Arabidopsis thaliana: one gene and its partner. The protein of the gene in region 1 interacts with the protein of each later gene in a pairwise test. Each region holds a gene or a part of one and is shown on either strand. Other genes may lie near its edges. The genes, in order: AT5G26790 and PARVUS.

The links.
Region 2: the proteins of AT5G26790 (region 1) and PARVUS interact in a protein complementation assay, tested with the Arabidopsis thaliana proteins (one large-scale study listed by BioGRID).

Annotation. Positions count from the first base shown.
Region 1 is NC_003076.8:9,416,742-9,426,575, forward strand, and holds AT5G26790 (uncharacterized protein), read left to right. Parts: upstream 1-6,137; 5' UTR 6,138-6,409; coding exon 6,410-6,616; 3' UTR 6,617-6,958; downstream 6,959-9,834. Other genes in the region: SHM2 (serine hydroxymethyltransferase 2), read left to right, coding at 1,558-1,644, 1,724-1,774, 1,863-1,949, 2,041-2,162, 2,243-2,319, 2,413-2,537, 2,654-2,746, 2,919-3,011 and 7 more.
Region 2 is NC_003070.9:6,667,269-6,677,751, reverse strand, and holds PARVUS (Nucleotide-diphospho-sugar transferases superfamily protein), read left to right. Parts: upstream 1-4,974; 5' UTR 4,975-5,245; coding exon 5,246-6,301; 3' UTR 6,302-6,657; downstream 6,658-10,483. Other genes in the region: AT1G19310 (RING/U-box superfamily protein), read left to right, coding at 648-1,328; AT1G19290 (Pentatricopeptide repeat (PPR) superfamily protein), read right to left, coding at 8,789-10,483.

The DNA of each region.
Region 1 (9,834 bases):
GTGAAATAAACAACTTCGGTCTTCATAATCTTATACAGGAAATAAGAGTATGGCAACAGAAGTACACGAGCGTGAAGATACAATGGACTGCGAGATCAAGCAATAAGGCAACGGATTGTCTAGCGAGAACTCGGAGACCCAATGATCTTTCATTTGTCAATTACTTCCATGTACCAAACTTTCTTGTAGACATCCTTCACGAGGATTACACTTCATCTATCTAATAAAAGAAGTTGCTGTTAAAAAAAAAAAGTTAGAGATAGGTAAAGTGAATTTCATATTTTTTGGATAGTATTTTTGAATTGCTTCATTTTCGAGATTAACAAGCTTCTTCTTTTTTTAACAACCCCAGAGTTTCATCAACTTTCAAGCAACAGAAACACATGATTAAAAAATTAATAACATCAAATAAAGCATATTTTAAAAATTAAACTTTTCATCATATAGATTCTTAGAATGTGATTGTGGAGCCACGTTGGATCTCCAGGGTTAGATATAAATGAAACTGTCTATGCCGTGTGACAGCCCTTGCAACTATTCAATTCAAAGTTGACCATACATGAAACTATTTCAAGCAAACGACGCCCAACATCAAGTATTCAAGTTGTTGATATTGTCTAAAAGATTCACCATATATAAAAGCCAACTTCATGGAATCGAAATTGTAGCGGTACAACAGTTACTAGATCACCACTTTATGACAAGCACACTCTTGACATATTAATCAAACTTGGCCAAGATGATCCCGAGCTAACCACACACCACCCACACATCTAATATTTGACTGTTCATGCCACACTTATATTGACCTTGAGAAAAATGAAGAGTATATCGACTCGGTTAACAAAACTTCAACAAGACAATTTCTTATAAAAAAATAATCATAGACTGATAAATTTCTCAAAACACTTTTCAATTTAAACAATTTCATAATATGTGTATGTTGACATTTCTAATACATGAATAGATTGATGCTCATTGAACTTTATTGAAATGTAAAGAAGAGATAAATGTGAAAGATTTTATGTTGTCTTCAAGAACAAAATAAGTTTCAATTATGTTTTATAAAATGTTGAATGTGGCTGTTCAAAAAAGTAGCCTTGATTACATTAATCAAAGTCTTACACAATATAACATAAGCTTACACGGACTTCTCTAATGAATAATGATTATAACTTGGGTTTAGGATCCTCTTTTCCACCTAGAGGCTTTTATATTGTTCTACAATTTAATTTTTTTTAAAAAAAAAAAAAACAGGAGCAAAATAAGATAGTGTGTATGTAACATAATTTATTGTTGTTGTAAGACATTACAAATAAAAAAAATATGATTGCATTGAAGAAAACAATATCAAATGACAAATACATAGAAACAAAATAATAATTAAGTAAGGCACCGAGAGTAGAAATTAAAAAAAGCTTATAAAACAAAGGAATCTCGGTCACCTCTCACCAACTCCAATGCTCACTTATACAGAAGCTGAGAAGCAGAACCGCTTTTATATAATCGCACTCACTCAGAGAAACAGAGAAGACGATAGATAGAGAAAAAAAAAAAATGGCGTTGGCTCTTCGTAGACTCTCCTCTTCCGTTAAGAAACCGATCTCGCTTCTCTCCTCTAATGGCGGTTCACTCCGTTTCATGGTAAAATCCTATCACAGTCAGATTCATTCACGTTTTATCCTTCGTTTGATTCTGATCCGTTTTTGACTCTTATACACAGTCGTCTTTATCAACCGCAGCTATGGCGGAATCGGAGAAATCTCGTTCTAGTGTAAGCTCATCAATTAGATCAGATGCGTCATAATATATAATCTAACGAATGGCTTATTTCGATTTAAACTTTTCTGTTTCTTTATCAGTGGATTAAGCAATTGAATGCATCTCTAGATGAAATCGATCCTGAAGTTGCGGATATTATCGAATTAGAGAAGGCTAGACAATGGAAGGTATCAACAAAATTTAGTGAGAATGATCAAATTCACATATATAGAAGCTTTGATTTATTGATTTGGGGGATGATGTTACGAGTTTTTTCAGGGATTTGAACTTATACCGTCAGAGAATTTCACTTCTCTATCTGTGATGCAAGCCGTTGGTTCTGTTATGACTAATAAGTATAGTGAAGGATACCCTGGAGCTAGATACTATGGAGGAAATGAGTATGTATTTGTTATACTTACAATGGTTTACTTTGTTGTTAGTATATGATGCTTAAGGTTGTTTGCATCTTATTGACTAGGTACATTGACATGGCTGAGACATTATGTCAAAAACGCGCATTAGAAGCTTTTCAGTTAGATCCTTCTAAATGGGGAGGTGTGCTAATTACATACTTTCGTTGTGAATTGTGATTAAAGAAATCCTACTAGAAACCAAATTTACTAATGGAGACACTTGTTCATTTTGTAGTCAATGTGCAGTCTTTATCAGGATCACCAGCTAATTTCCAAGTTTACACTGCATTGTTGAAGCCTCATGAAAGAATCATGGCACTTGATTTACCTCATGGTGGACATCTTTCTCATGGTTATCAGGTACTTGGGTTCTAGTCTCTCTAGCTTGGTCAGTCAGTATTTGACTTTCTTTTCTCATCTCTTTGTGGAATTGATATTGTATCTTTTCCTCATTTCTTTTATTTGCTCTTGTGCAGACTGACACGAAGAAAATATCGGCTGTATCCATCTTTTTTGAGACAATGCCATACAGATTGGATGAGAACACTGGTTACATTGATTATGACCAGGTTGGTTAGTTCATAGCCAGCTTAGCTTAATGCTTCAACATTCTATCTTTATCCAATATACCATTGAGATATGGGTTTAATACATACAAGCTTTTCGTTTACGGTTCTTATGTTAAGTAATTGAACAGTTTTTAAACCAAAGTTTATTTATTTGTGATACAATAATTTGCAGCTAGAAAAGAGTGCCGTGCTTTTCAGACCGAAACTTATTGTTGCGGGTGCAAGTGCTTATGCTCGTCTATATGACTATGCACGTATTCGTAAGGTAAAGTATTGTCTCAACTCTTGAGTGTGAAGTTTAGTTACAAAAGTTGCAGTTTTCAAGGTTATGCATAAAAAATTGCAGGTCTGTAACAAGCAAAAGGCAGTTATGTTGGCTGATATGGCTCATATTAGTGGGTTGGTTGCTGCTGGCGTTATTCCTTCTCCTTTTGAGTATGCAGATGTTGTTACGACTACAACTCACAAATCGCTTCGCGGTCCTAGAGGGGCTATGATATTCTTTAGGAAGGGGTTAAAAGAGATTAACAAACAAGGGAAAGAGGTGAATTTTTCGTTTCTATATTGTATATGAATGAGTAAATAACTTCCAGTTACTGACTAATTTTATGTCGTTTGTAACTTTACCTGATAGGTCATGTATGACTATGAGGACAGAATTAATCAAGCTGTTTTTCCTGGACTGCAAGGTGGTCCACATAATCACACTATAACGGGTCTAGCAGTTGCTCTGAAGCAGGTTCAGTCATCAAACTTTTATTGAAACTGTGTTCCATTGTCTAATGTGTTCGCATGATCTCCTTTCACTTTCTGATTAAGGTCTACTCTAGGATTCTCTTGGTCTTGTAACTCTTGTTCATGATCTTTTGACTTATCGATTTGTTCTATTATAGGCAAGAACTCCTGAGTACAAGGCCTACCAGGATCAAGTTCTCCGTAATTGCTCAAAGTTTGCTGAGGTGCGTTGTGTTTGCTGATTGTCGTATTTTTACTTGAGTAATTAGTTGATATGCCTTAGATATCTTGTCATGTTTGGAACAGTTGGATATAAGACCTACTGTAATCATCTCATATGGCTTGTCAATGCAGACTTTGCTTGCGAAAGGATATGATTTAGTGTCTGGAGGCACTGATAATCATTTAGTTTTGGTGAATCTGAAAAACAAGGTACTTCTCATTCTATCTTTAATTGCTCAAACCCTTTGATATCTAGATGGAAATGTTTGCTTTAAATGTACGAGTTTGCATATGAAAGGACTGAATCTCATCGGTATTAGAGAATCTTAACTCTTGAAATATGATAAAACTAAAAACAATGATGATTTTTTTCCCATATATGTTGTGTGGTTTCAATTTTTACTAACGACATACTGACCAGATGGAGCTAATCAAGTGTAAAATGTTTAATTTTTGTACTGTTAACCTTAGTAGGAAGTGCTTAGAATAGCTAATTTACTCTTGTAAAATATTTGATGTTGGAAAATGGGTTTTGCAGGGAATAGATGGATCAAGAGTGGAAAAAGTATTAGAATTAGTACATATTGCAGCAAACAAGAATACTGTTCCTGGTGATGTTTCTGCCATGGTTCCCGGTGGCATCCGTATGGGTAAGGCTCTTATAAAAACTCTGAAAGAAGTAATGTGTTAGTATGTCGAAAGAGTAGTAAACATTCATACGTCTGCTATTTACCACCATTAATGTTATTTTTGAACAAAAAAGAACACTGAAACAAGTAAAGTGTTAGTATGTCGAAAAGTGCTAAATGTTCATGCTTCTTGCAATCTACTACTTATGAAAAAGGACTTCTATGCTAATTCATAGAGACCTGTTGATCACCAAGAAAATCGTGTATGTTCCGATTTGTTCTTATGATGGATGATGGTATGGTTACAGGAACACCAGCCCTCACATCAAGAGGATTCATTGAGGAAGATTTTGCAAAAGTGGCGGAGTATTTTGATTTAGCCGTCAAGATAGCCTTAAAGATCAAAGCAGAGTCTCAAGGTATATATAAAAAGTCTTTTGGTTCGGTTTACTTTTTCTGTGTCATGCTTGGGATTGTATTGATGTATCTATAATGTACTGCAGGAACAAAGTTGAAAGACTTTGTAGCAACAATGCAATCAAATGAGAAATTACAGTCAGAGATGTCAAAGCTCCGTGAGATGGTAGAAGAATATGCTAAGCAATTCCCAACGATTGGGTTCGAGAAAGAGACGATGAGATACAAAGAGTAGTTTTCATCGTGTGGATTGACACGTTTCCACATCTCTGAGATGCTTTAGGTACCTAAAACACTTAATTATACATAAGCTTCTTCTATGAAATATTTTGGAGGGACTCATTATGGGGCGATTGTGCAACCGTTTGCAGTGATCATGGACCAGAGGCGCAACCGATGGTCTGAAGTATCGCTGAAACTAAAGTTGAACTAAAAAAATCGCACTCCAATGTTGTCTCTTACCCTTTCCTTTTGTCTCTCAAATTTTATCTTTGCTTCCTTAAGTTGGTTCCTCAAAATTCAAAATTTGTAATGCAACTGGTTTAAGGTTGCTATGATGGATAATGGCAACTAAAGTTATAGGATAAACGATGCAGCTTTGATAATTGATATTGTAAACAGAAGTGTTTCTGAAATAAGATGTCTCGTGCTTTTTCACATAAACAATGCTACTTTGTAATTAAGCATGCTTCAAGAATGGCCTAAATGTGAAATTTGAGGTACAATAAAGAAAAAAACTGTCCAAAGTTCAATAAAACAAATTAGAGGTTTTTGTTGTCGTTTTTTGAAAAGATTGAGGTTTGTTTTACAGTTTTTCGAGGTTAAACTCGCATTTGTATTGTTCTCATTAAAAAACGACTATTAATATTATTTTATTTTAAAAAAAATTTAACTTGCTTTAAAATACTTCAACAAAAAAAAAACATATGTTTTTTTTAGAGCTAACCAACCTCAAGTTTGATTTTTTCATTCTGTTGCGAATAGAGACATACAGTTCAACTGTGAATAGAGTACGGTGCGGTTCAAATAAGAACAAAAATATATACATACACATATATGTAGAGATTTTAGTTACTATTGAAACCGCAACGCATTGTTTGGTTCACCGCACCGGACTGCGGAATTTGTGATTTGTTCGGAAAAAATTACGGCTTGTCGTTTTTTCAAATGATTGAGGTTTGGTGTACAATATTTTTATTCAAGGTTAATCTTGCTTTTCTTTTTGTAATTTGGTGATTTCTTTGCATTTTTTGTCAATAATTTTTTTTATTTTAACTCAACTTGGTTTAAATTTTTTAAAAATATTTCAACCTGCCACATTGACCACAATGATGGAGGAGGAAACAACTATTCATTCTCCTTCTCTTTTCAAAAAACAAATACTACTATAAAAGTTGAAAAAGAACCAAAAACAGATCCCAATATATCCAATCACAGCTGCACATCTCGAAAATGTAACATGACTAAATTAAACCATCACCGTTAATTTTAAAAACATCCAACACATCAAAAACACATCTGTAAACTCGCATGGACCACATCAATCCTCTCATGCCCATCATTTCCGCCATAAAAGCTTTACCTTTTTTCCACAATTAGCCAGGTACACACTAATTCGACACTAGTAGAATCTTACACACACACACTAGAATCCACTTCAATGCCGTCATCTATCCGCTGGTGGTGGCCGATCCATTTCACTTCATCTGGATCTGTACCAAGGTGGCTGAGTTGGCGTCGACCGGAGCTGAGTTTATTGTCTGTGGTGGTCGACGACGTTGTGTGGAAAGTTGTTACGGCGTTCGAGTCGGTGGCCTTGGTCTCCATGCTCTGTTTCTTCTTCCTCTTTTGTGGCTGCACCGTCTAGTTTTGATTTTACTTAATCTCGTTAAGATTTTTTGTATTTTTTTGTGAACGGTGTTTTATCACCGGAAAGTTTTGAATTGTTTTTTTTTCTTTTTAATTTTTAGCTGCGTCACCGTGTGGTAGTGGCGGAGAAATTTATGTTAGTGATTCAAAAGGAGGCGCGTGATGCTCACTCGAGAGTTATGATCATTTGTGTTTAGTTTTGGTTTCTTTTGAAGGATGATTATGTTATGTTAGGTTCGAATCTTGTGAACCAGAAAAAACAAAAACCTATGGTTTCTATATTAAGAAAGCTGTAAAATCGAAATCGTAATGGGATTTTGAAAACGGATATTACATAGTTAAATTGAAAATGCTTTTGGAAATTTTAATCTTCATATTCTGATTTTTCAACGATTTTTGAATATGTTTTTACTTAGCAACCTAAAGTTATAGAACCAAGCTAGAAAATACATGACTTATTCAGGCGATTGATTTTGGATTTTTCAAAATGTAGAATTTTTTATTTGGGCCTGCTAATGGGCTGGTTCGTTTACATGAACAATCAATGAGCTTATAGGTTACTCTCACTTTTACTAAGGGACTTATGGGAGGGAGTCAATAAACTCAAAAGCACCAAAAAGTTTCGCTGAGGTTAATTCTAACAAGGAAGATTTGTGAAGAAGAAGCTCTGATAATGGTGTGGACACGACTGAAGCAGAACGCGAAATCAGTTCTAAAGATAGCACCACTATCTTTAACTCTAAACCTTACTAGAGATTACTCTAAACCAACTTTTTATTCCGGTAGATTGTTTTCACTTGTCTTTTTCACGGACCTAGGTACAGAATCTCTTAGTCTTTAAAAAAAAAACAAATGTTTTCACTTGTAATTACTTTGTTAGATTTTGCTTCGGAGACATGTCATGGATTAGGACCGATTTAGCCATAGTGACATGCCTAGATAGAATACGTATATCTGGTCTTGTAGGTTTGGAACATAACTAAAAGTTATTAAATTATAGATGAATAGTTTCATTGTATTATTAAAAGGCAAAAACAAATAAAGATAATGTTGATAATCTTTAACAACACAAAAAAGAAGAAAAAAAAGTAATGGCATTCAAGTTTCCAAGTGCATGATGCTTACACTATCCATCAGAGTGAAATAAGCCGCGATGACTAGTGGTAGGATTATAGATGCACGCTTTTCCGTATAGATTGTATAAAATCAAGCCGCGATGACAAACTATGTCGTTTCCTCCTCCAATCCTTGGGATAACCAAACCGTGGTCCTTACTAGACGATAATGATAATGATAGCATTACAGAACTACCCAGGTACTCGTTTACGAAACGTATGTCTACACGATGAGGTTGTTGTGGTGGAGATGCGACCGTAAGATAAAGGTTGGTTAAATATCGAGAATGGATAAGAGAAACTCAGAGCTTAGAGACACACTTGAACTTCATCAGTGATTTAGCAGGCAATCTAATTGGAATCTCGATCATGAGATCCAAAGGAATCTTTGCCGAAACCAAATCGTCTATTTCTTCCTCTTCTCGTCGTATTTGACGACTTTTTCTTCCATTGGAAAAAAAATAGTCTGAGCTTTAGACATACACATACGGCATACCCATAGCTCAACTACAGTGTCAAGGACAAAACCCTAAACCCACAAATCTTTGTTACATTTTTTTTTGCAAGGGAACGTGATAAAAAAAGGTTTAGGCTAATGGGCCAAAGATGTAATGGGCTTAGCCGTTTAATAAACAATCGATGAGCTTATTTCAGAAAACGACGTCGTAGTAAGGAACTCCCATCAGAGAAACCCAAAAACCCAAAATCTCTCTCTCTATCTCTATCTCGCCCGAGGAAAAGCTCCGATAATGGCGTGGATGCGACTGATACAGAGCGCGAGATCTGTTCTTACGACAGCACCAGCGTCTTCGACTCTTAACTTCCATAGATTCTACTCCAAATCCGCCGCTCCTTATCACGGTAAACCGTTTTTATTTGTTCAGATTTTGCGTCGGAGAAATGCGGATGCTAAACTTGCGTGTATTGGCTGATTCGTTACCTTAGGGTTGTTGCAAGTTTCATTTGTGTGGAGATTCATGATTGGTCTTCTCGTCTGAGTAGATTCAGTTTCAGTGATCGTTATTGTTATTCAAAGTTTGCAAGTATTTAGGGAAGACTAACTATTGAGATGTTGTGAATGGTTTTTGATTGCTACTTTGAGATTTTTTTGTAGTGAAAGTTGGAATTCCTGAGTTTTTGAGTGGATTGGTGGAGGAGTTGAGACTCATATTGCTAAGCTTGAAACCGAGTTAGGCGATCTTCCGAAATTGCTCGTGACTCGTACGCTTAGACTCAAGAAGTTTGGTATTCCTTGCAAACATGTAAGTTTCCAAGTCTTTATTGTTCTGTGTAAGTTACATAGATTTCAATGTGCATTTGGTTATATTGTTGTTGCAGAAAAGTGGGTTAGTTAGGTTCACAGGTTTTAATATGTTACTTTAAAATGTGTTCCATTGCGTATTTTAGTGAGGTATCTATAGAATTTAAGGTAAAAGAGAAGAAAAAGTCGAGTTCTTTTAACTTTTTAGACACAAAGAGATTGATTGAAATGGTCTTGGAACGTTAGTTTAGCTTGTTGGTTATCATTCAAATATGAAATATAGGCTTGTTCGCACTTCCTGTCACTCACCAAGACATGTTTCTTTTCGTGTTACTGTTAATAGGTTTTGGTGAACAATACTATTGAATTTGTTCCATTACGTAGTTTAGTGAAGTAACTATAGAGGATCAATGAGAGAAGAAGAAAAAGTTTGAGTTCTATAAGTTTTTAGGCACAAAGAGAATGATTGAAATGTATGTACCTATAGTTCTATTTTGTTGTCATGGAAATGTAGGTTTGTTCACACTTCCTGTTACTCACGACGATCTATTTCTTTCATGTTGCTGTTAATAGATTTTGTGAACAATACCATGTTTGGGTTTGTTCTCTCAATTCTTCATATCTCTATTTTGGTCAATCTTCTTTTGAAAATTCTGAATTCTGGTTTTGCAGAGGAAATTGATACTGAAATATAGCCACAAATACAGGCTAGGTCTATGGAAACCTAGAGCTGACGCAATAAAGGCGTGATTGGTTCCTGTACTCATCGAATCATAAGTTCCTCTCATACTTTGTTATGCTAATGGAATGAGTTGTTCTCAGAATGATCTAGGCATAGCA
Region 2 (10,483 bases), on another chromosome or scaffold:
CGTGGAATTGGGGGACCAGTCCAAAAGACACGTCAATTCGCGGGTAATTAAATAAAACAAAACAGGTTTAATACAAATATTAATATTCTGAAAATATCTTTCTCTCGATGAAACTTGTCTCCTCCGGCCAACCTTAACCCTTAAGCGAACGGTGTTCCTTTGCGGATTGCGATCGTTCCGTCGATCCCTTCATCGCCCGATCTAAATCTCTAATCGGTAAATTTATATTTCGGATTGTTCCAACTCTTTTGCTTGATTTTTTTGTTTCTCGTTTTCCGTTTCTGTTTATGATTTTGTACGATTGGAGATAAGTTAGTTATTTTATTCACGGGAATATATGATCGGTGATTTTAGTGGTTTATCGGAGAGATCTAGAGGTTTATGATTCCGTTTTGATTGTTTGAATTACTTCTCTCTTTTTTTTTTGGATTTTTTAATGTATATTATTAAAGCTGAATGATCCATTAATGATTATTGAATCGTGACAAATTCAAGCAAATTAGAAAATTTGGAATCACTAATTTCATTTTGGTCAATGAGAGTTGTTGATTAGTTGATTTAATCCTCTGTGTTTATTTGTGCTAATTTATATGGTGCTTGTGATAATCCAGTGTCGGAGATTAAAAGCAGAGGTTTTGTGGTGAATCATGTCTGATGTCCCTTCTTGTTCTAGCGGTAATGATACAAACAACAATGATTCGAGTAACTTCGAATGTAACATCTGCTTAGACTTGGCTCAAGATCCTATTGTCACTCTCTGTGGTCACTTGTTCTGTTGGCCTTGTTTATACAAATGGCTCCATCTCCATTCTCAATCTAAGGACTGTCCTGTTTGCAAAGCCGTGATCGAAGAAGACAGATTGGTTCCTTTGTACGGTAGAGGTAAATCGTCTGCTGACCCTCGGTCCAAGTCCATTCCGGGTCTCGAAGTGCCTAACCGTCCATCGGGACAGAGACCCGAAACTGCACAACCTCCTGATCCTAACCATGGTTTTGCTCATCATCATGGGTTTGGAGGGTTCATGGGAGGTTTTGCTGCTCCGATGGCGAGTGCGCGGTTCGGGAATGTTACATTGTCTGCAGCGTTTGGCGGTTTGATTCCTTCTTTGTTCAACCTCCATTTCCATGGTTTCCCTGATGCAGCCATGTATGGAGCTGCTGCTTCTGGCGGCTTCCCTCACGGTTTCTCGAATCCGTTTCATGGAGGACACTCGCATATGCATAGTTACCAGCGGCACACGGGTCGACAAGGACAACAAGACCATCACTTGAGGATATTGTTACTCATTGTTTTCGTCGTTGTTGTGTTTTCTCTCTTCTTGAGCTAGTGAGGAAATCGATTTAGCTAACTGTATTTCGCTTTTTATTCTAGATTTTATTGCATAAAAACATGGGAAAATATGTGCTGTGAGTTGGCTTGTAAACTGCTACTTTAGCAAATTGTTCATATATTAATAAAACCTGTCGGATTCTCTTACTGATATTTCTTAAGGATTTGACTTGCGAGTCTTCACTCAATACTTATGTTGTTTAATTATTCCCATAATGTTGGATACGATTATTATTCATCATCATGTTGTTGGCTCCTTCGGATCTTTTACTTGTGTTTATCTGCAAACACGTTTTGGGAGCCTCTTATTGTATTGATAGTGTCTCATTGCCTGCAAAAATGTTTGTTTAGTTTGTTCGTTAAGGGAGTCTAAGTATACTTTGAACTCTTCTTCCCTTTTTGGTGAAATTTTTTCAGCAACTAAACATTTTTTAGTGTTCATAGCTTTCGAAGACATGACATAAGATGCTGCTCCCTATTACTTGTAAGGTGTAGGTGTGGTTAGATACCAGAAGAATTATTTGCCTCAAATACTTTTTATTTGATACTTTCAATCGTCATAATTATATTAAAACTCACAAATGTTTAGACCGTTCACATTATATATTTTTCTAAAATAAATATTTTAGGATATACCTAATTTTACTTACTTTTAGTTTTCTTACTAAAAACATTAACTAACAACGGTGAACATATAAACGCAATATGATTGTTTGTGTTTAGATGTGCAGTGTCTTTATTTTTCGTACTAGTATTGTAGTTTTGTCCAAGTTTTGTTCTATATCTCTTTTCAAAATATACATACAAATATTTTGAAGTCACGTGCAGCCAATGCATCCAATATTTTTTAAATTATTAGGAAGCAACTATTTCAGAAGAAGACTAAAGTTATGGCTTTTTGGACTCATGGAAGTGAATGTGTAGTGTAGACCATACATGCTTATTCGAAATCTACCTTTGAGACAATGAGACCCATTGTAATTTTTTAATTTGTTTCTCAGAGAGTTCACACACACAGATGCAATAATCTCCACTTCATCTGTTTCTAATTAAAATTATCCATTTATGTGCATACACTCATGAACATGTATTAATAATAATAACCCTCCCTTCATGCACACATGACACATGCAACATGCTTATTTAATACTAGTATTACGTTCGTTTCTATATTTTATTTAATGTGTCATCAAAAGGCTGAAGCCATATGCCTTCATGGCTTCATCGATCATATTTTTTCAAAGTTTCATGATTTTCCACCGGAATAAAATGAGCTATATATGTTGGTCGCTAAATATACAATTCATATATAGTCATATTGTGAGAATTATAATGATAAAATGAAATGAGTTTAAATATATGAAAGTAAAAAGAAGAAGGAAACCTCGCATTCTCACAATGCTTTAAGTCTCAGCACACAATTCCTTCGAACCTTTTTTTTTTTTTTTGTGAGCACCCAATTCCCTTAGGATATAAGTGAAGGGGTTTTCAAGATAAAACGATGGCCCAACAAATCAAGTTGGCTTCTTAACTTAATATTTTTCTGGTAACTGTATATTTCTAAATTTTTACTCAATGCAAGTATGCAACATATGAAAAACATTGTGCAAGTAAGATTTGATTGGTAAGTTGGTGAATATAAATGTAGGTTCTTGTAACCGTTACTTGGTTACCAATTAAATAAAACGTTCTAACCGGTTACCTAAGTAATGGTTGGAGGGCTGAAATTCAAGATAGATCCTTGCACAATGGTTTTATTGACCTATTGTTTAGCGGTTGTTTAATTTGAGGATTTGTATGACTATTGATGAATATATGTAAAGTGGAGGCTAATCATAAAATTACGTTGAACCTTTTATTTTTACGTATATTATGTTTTATTATGGCCATGAACATAATTGGTTTAACATTTTCCGATATGTGGATATTTTTTCTTGAAAAACTCTATATGGTATATATCTTTGTATGTATTTCTTTTTGGAGTATCTTTATATGGTGTATTGCAAGGAGTTGTCTTAATCGCGGGTGTTTTACATAATGAAAGGAAATTATTTGAAGTAAAAAGAAAACTAACAAAATTATAAAAAAAAGTATGCAAAAAAACAAAAACAAAAATGACATGGTATAAATTCTACAAGACTTTAACACAAAAGTACTCACGAATTCACATTTGGTGATGAAAGAAAAGTCGTACCATTAGGATTTGAGATATTATTCCATTTCACGTTTGGCCCACGCGTCTTGCTTTTCTACGTTTATCTTTATGAGTGTTTATTAGTACTATTGTATAATGGAAAACTTTTCTAATATTTTAATTTTTATTAGTTTAGTTTTTAGTTTTGATTATTCAACATAATAACCATCAGTACTAACAAAACGAGCAAATGTGCTTAATACTATGAACTCAAAATGCATTCTTTGGAAAGGGCTTGCTTATTTGTACTCCTAATTGGAAATGAAAGAACTTCTTCCGCAATGAGACACTAAAAGTAAAATTTCTGAAACATTGAAACTCTGAACAAGTTCATGAGATGAAAATTGCTACATTCTTCAACTTTTTTTTTTTTTACAGCCAACGTTTTTTTATTTAAACGATGGTAGTTCATAATTGTAAGTTGTGGTCGGTCAAAACCAAAATTAAATCTCTCTAATAAATATATATGATAGGTATACATTTTCGTTTCAAATTATTACAATTATTAGGTAATTAGAAATTCGTCAGCAAAAGAAAAAGGGAAACCCACTTCCTGACCATGTGCTGATGTGCCCATTCCCCATGATCCAAAAAAAGTTTCTTAGGAAAAAAGAAAAGAAAATTCAATCATTGAAAATAAAAGACTAACATTTAAAAATAAAATAAAAAGACTATAACCAATAAGCCAAAAAAAAAAACAAGTGTGGCAGAAATATGTAAAATGCAAATAGGCGTTATAATACGAATTTTCAAATGGATCCAATTTATTTATTTATTGTATTTCATTTCACCAATAAATTTCGTAGTCATGGAAAGTGACAAAGGACCATAATAGAAACTTCAAAGAAAAAACTAAAAAACTTATAGCAAAAATGAATAGATTTACTATAAAGCTTGAAGCTAAACATAACATCTCAACCATAAGAATTATTGACCAAGTCATGTATATAATTATATTTCATTCTTTTGAACAGCTCGTTAAATTATTCTCAAAACATTCATTTCACGTTTCTATATCTTCCCCCCTATTCTTCTGCAACTGTGAATCGTACTAAGTACTAGCCACATAATTTTCAATAATTTCTCGAGATATATCTATCCGAGAAATTCGAATTCTAAAAACTATTTGTTTGTACTGTATGCACAGACAAACATAGCGATATTACGTGTGTGAATTTGTTTTTGATAAGTACTTATCAATCTCATATATCAACTTCCATGTCTCTTTTAATTTTGTGCATTTTTAGTAAGAAAAAAATACAAACGGAAATTATAAAAACTCAAATCTCATTAATAAATAATGTAATCACCCATTTAATATACATTATATAGCCTATAACGTGGATCTACACTGATTTTCGGTAATCATGTGGATACAATAAATTCCCACATTTCTGCATTCGATAAAACAACACATTTAAGTCGAAAAATTCAGTAAATAATTTGACCATTTTTTTGTTACCTGACGCAATAATATGATTTTCAGTTTTCAAGATTTAAATTTAAAAATCATGAAAAGGGCTTGGAATCTAATCAATATATAAATATTTTTTAATGAGAGAAACCCAAAATCTAAGCAAAACCATTTTTTTAATTTTCCTCTCTCTTACACACACACATGATAAAAAGTGTTTAGAGACAGCTCTTCTCTTCTTGTTCTCAGTTTGAGAGAAACAAAACCTTCCAATACAACCAGAGAGTCGACGAAGAAGAAAGAAACCATGTCCCAACATCTTCTTCTTCTCATTCTCCTCTCGCTACTTCTTCTTCATAAACCCATTTCCGCCACTACAATTATTCAAAAATTCAAAGAAGCCCCACAGTTTTACAATTCTGCAGATTGCCCCTTAATCGATGACTCCGAGTCCGACGATGACGTGGTCGCCAAACCAATCTTCTGCTCACGTCGAGCTGTCCACGTGGCGATGACACTCGACGCCGCCTACATTCGTGGCTCAGTCGCCGCTGTTCTCTCCGTCCTCCAACACTCTTCTTGTCCTGAAAACATTGTTTTCCACTTCGTCGCCTCTGCTTCCGCCGACGCTTCTTCCTTACGAGCCACCATATCCTCCTCTTTCCCTTACCTTGATTTCACCGTCTACGTCTTCAACGTCTCCTCCGTCTCTCGCCTTATCTCCTCCTCTATCCGCTCCGCACTAGACTGTCCTTTAAACTACGCAAGAAGCTACCTCGCCGATCTCCTCCCTCCCTGCGTCCGCCGCGTCGTCTACCTAGACTCCGATCTGATCCTCGTCGACGACATAGCAAAACTCGCCGCCACAGATCTCGGCCGTGATTCAGTCCTCGCCGCGCCGGAATACTGCAACGCCAATTTCACTTCATACTTCACATCAACCTTCTGGTCTAATCCGACTCTCTCTTTAACCTTCGCCGATCGGAAAGCATGCTACTTCAACACTGGAGTCATGGTGATCGATCTTTCCCGGTGGCGCGAAGGCGCGTACACGTCACGCATCGAAGAGTGGATGGCGATGCAAAAGAGAATGAGAATTTACGAGCTTGGTTCGTTACCACCGTTTTTATTGGTTTTTGCCGGTTTGATTAAACCGGTTAATCATCGGTGGAACCAACACGGTTTAGGAGGTGATAATTTCAGAGGACTGTGTAGAGATCTCCATCCTGGTCCGGTGAGTCTGTTGCATTGGAGTGGGAAAGGTAAGCCATGGGCTAGGCTTGATGCTGGTCGGCCTTGTCCTTTAGACGCGCTTTGGGCTCCGTATGATCTTCTTCAAACGCCGTTCGCGTTGGATTCTTGACCAGTCTCGATCGGTTTACTTATTATTAATACCGGTACATACATATATACAATATACAGGTGAATTTTTGTTTTTACTGTACATCGATTCGTAAATCATACAACCGAAGAAGAAAAAAAACATTTTGCTTTTTGCTTTTGTTCGTTGTTGTTTTCATTGGTTTTGTTTTGGAGTATAGAAGAGAATATACAAAAAAAAAAATACTCTCAAGTGACCAAAAGAATGATCAAAATGGCTAAATTTTTAACATTTTCTATAAAAGTGTAATTTTATCAAATACTATTAAATGGGAATTATCTTGCATTTAGAGCTGGAAACGCTGCATTTGCGTTGTGCATATGGGGAATGGAACAAATGGAACTTTAGAAACCGAATTTAAATTGCCAAACATAAGAATCTATAATTGTGAATGAAGGTACATTATGTCCATTGTCGGATTCTAGCTATGTGTAGATGGTTCGTAGGTTGAAGAGCACATGTGTTGCCTCATTTTCTAATTTCCATCATCCCTCTTTACAACAACATCACGTGTCTTAACTTTCGCTATTTCATTTTTTGGTCTTATGAAGATACCGAACTCATAGAAAACCAAAGTACCAAACCATAATAAAAGCTCCTTTCCACGTATATTTCCATGAGATCACTCTTATGGGTGGATCCGTGGATAGTAGCAAATAATTTTGCAAATAGTAACGTAAAATATCTCGAGGAAAGACATGTTCTTGCAGAAAAACATATTACAAGTAATTCGTAACGTTGTGAGAAAACATATATGCTTGAAGAAATAGCAATAAACCAAGTAACAAAGAAATTCAGAGTCACCAGCGACGTGCTTGTTTGAATCATATTAGATCCATAATGTTAATTGATTAATTAGAAAGTCGACGAAATTAAGTCATTAGATTAAAGTTTTAGGAAATAATTGGAGACAGAGTGTCGGTGGTCCGAGCGAAAGAAAGGAAAAGCACGAGCAATGTCCCATCAAACATTTATGTACAGTCACTACAGTTTTGACCTTTGAGACTCTTTTCATTTTTCATTATATTTTTTTGTTACCTTTTTAAAGAAACAATTCACTCTACATTTCTTTTTCACCTCCTCGTAATCTCTTAAAAAATTAATTTTCCTCCAAATCCACTAGGATATATGTAGTATAAAGAAAAATTAGGAGTAAATATCTTTCGCATTTTGATGGTAAAAGATATTCCACTAAGTGGCAGATTATGCTAAGTTTTCTACAAGTGTTACCATTTAACAATATTGTTCTCTATCAAAAGTAATATATACTCACTCTATTCCAGATTAATCCAATTTGTAACAGGTTGATATTAAATACATCCATTTTTTTTTGTGATAAACAATTTTTTAAAACTCTAAACCATTCTATTGTTTGTCTTGTAGTCTACAATTTATCATCCATAACTAACTACCAATGCTTAGAAAACCTAGCAAAATGTATCTTTTTGAAACATTTTCTTTCTTTCTAAAACTTGGATATTTAGGAACAAGTGGAGTGTTGTGTAAATAATTTTTCTATATACACTACATATTCATTTGTTAACTTTATTCTTAAATTTTTCTTTTATATAAATAAATCAAAATGCAAAATTTGTTAGCTTTAATAATTTTAGTTTTGAATATTTTTCTCAAGCTGAGTGACTTCTGAGCTTTCTGCGCATGTGACAATGGTATCGACAATGGACCCACCGTGTCTCAAACAAACCGAAGTAAGTACAATGAAACCGAGACAGACCGGAATAAGCTCTCCGGTTCGGCAGATAGCACACACAATCAAAGGTAGGTTTGGTTGTTCACATTCTAAAAAGGAAAAAGAGGTGGCTCGTCAATTTAAATCAATAGCTTGTGTTGATCTGAAGCAACTTTACTTATTTAATCAAGATCTCATTTATTACATTGAACATTATATATGGTACATATCTGATCACAGAGTCTTATCTGGCTTTGGAAGGTACAAGAACAACCGTGAGATGGGGAGCTTACTGGTTTGATCGGTTGATCAGCTTATCAAAAAGACCAGTGACTAATATCGATCGTTTGGCCTTTACTATATAAACCTGACAAAAGACAATTATCATTCTTAGTTTTGTCTTATATCCTAAAAACTATAGTTTGTCAAACTTGATTGAACTAAGAGGAGCATGAACAAGTGTAATGTGTGCTTACCTGAGGCCGCTCGAAATTTCAGGCTCCATGAATGTGATGTCTCGTATCTTTAAAACATCAAGGATCAGAAGAGAAGGCCGATAAATTTGAAGCCAAGTGATGGATTGTTTGGTAGAAGGATCACAATTTCCAAATGATCTTGAGACAATGGCACTGTTTTCTTTGAAGTATACAATCATACCACATCAATGGAGGAGATTCGTTGTAGCCTCCTTTCATGTTACCCATCAATCATAGCAACATTGAAGACTCAAAGTGATCTTTCAAAGAGTTCTACAAGAGGTCAGGATTTGTTATTCGTCATCATACTACTGCTTCAGAAACTCTCCTAACATCATAAAGCTCATTTGAGTTCATTTCGATCACTCCTGTGCTCCCCAATTTAACTTCCGGATCCAAAACCACCTCCTTTGGTATGTCAACATCCCCCTGTTTATCGGACCCTCTAACCAAGCCTTTCTCAATCATTTTTTCTTTTAAACGCATAGCTTCAGCAACATTACCACTTTTAACTAGTCCATCAATTAATGTGTTATAGGTAATAGCATTAGGAGTTATGCCCTTCTGTGGAAGCTTATGTAAAAGCCTCTGAGCACGATCTACATTACCCAACTTGCACAAGCCTTTTATCAAAGCGTTGTATGTAACAATGTTCGGGATAATACCTTTTAGAGCCATCTCATCCCTCAGGGTAAAGGCTTTGTTTATATCACCAGCAATAGCACATCCGTGAATTAGGATCGTGTATGTGTATTCGTCTGGAATAAACCTATCACTTGATAGTAAATCCGAGAAGAGTTTTCGAGCATCCTCGAGTTTCCCAGCTTTACAGAGACCTGCGATAGCAACATTGTAAACAATGTTATTGGGAACTAAGAGCTTCTTAGGGGTGCTATTCTCGACAGACTCAGCGATTTTTTGTGTTTTAAGACACGTCGTAGCACTGGCCTCAAGAAACTCTTTCAAGCTCTGGTAACCGGGAAGAAGCAGATCAAAATCCACAATCTTCTGCAATAGCAAACAAGCCTCATCAATCTTATCAAGACGAAACAAACTATTTGCAATCTTGCTGCAAATATTCACATTTAAGGTAATCCCTTTCTCTATCATTTCGAAACATGTAGCGTAGGCTTTATCTATCATTCCAATATTGCACCAGCCGGTGATGAGAGCACCATATGTAGCAACAGTAGGAGTTAATCCTCTTGCGCGTAGCTCGATCACAAGATCCGCTACTTTATTCAAGTGTCTATATTTGAAAGCACCAGATATCAGAGTGTTATACATCTCTATGGTGGGGAAGATTCCTTTCCTTTCCATATACTCTTTAACCGCAAAGGCTTCTTTCAAATTTCCGACTTTATAATACCCATGGCTCAACGCTTGATATGTTTGCACAGCTGGCTTACATCTGAAAATGTTCACATTATCTAGAATCTCTTTGGCTTCATTGACCTTCTCCATTTTACACAGCCCACTGATCATTACATTTAATGTTATCGTATCAGTCAATAGACCTCTTGCTAAGACATTCTCCCACAGCTTCATAGCTTCATTAAAATCGCCAAGCTTGAACAATGCTTCGAGTAGGGTGCTACAACTAATCTCATCGGCGTTTACGCCTCTTTTAAGCATCATCTTCCAAAGGCTCAAAACATCATGAAAAGCACCAATCCTACTATAACCTTTAAGCAGAATATTGTAAGTCATAACTGTTGGTACAACTTCTTTTTGGCACATTTGATCACAAAGCTTTAAAGCCTCGTCAACATAACCAGCCCTGCAATACCCATCCACAAGGGTATTGTACGTGTGATGATCTGGTTTCAAGCTCCAATCGTTCATCCGAGAAAATATTTGTTCCGCTTCAACTAATTGACCAGATTTGCAGTACCCATTGATCAAGGAGTTACAAATGGTAGTATTTGTTCTTACGCCTATCTCAATCATATTATCATGAACCCTAACAGCATCACGGATTTGACCAGTACGACAATA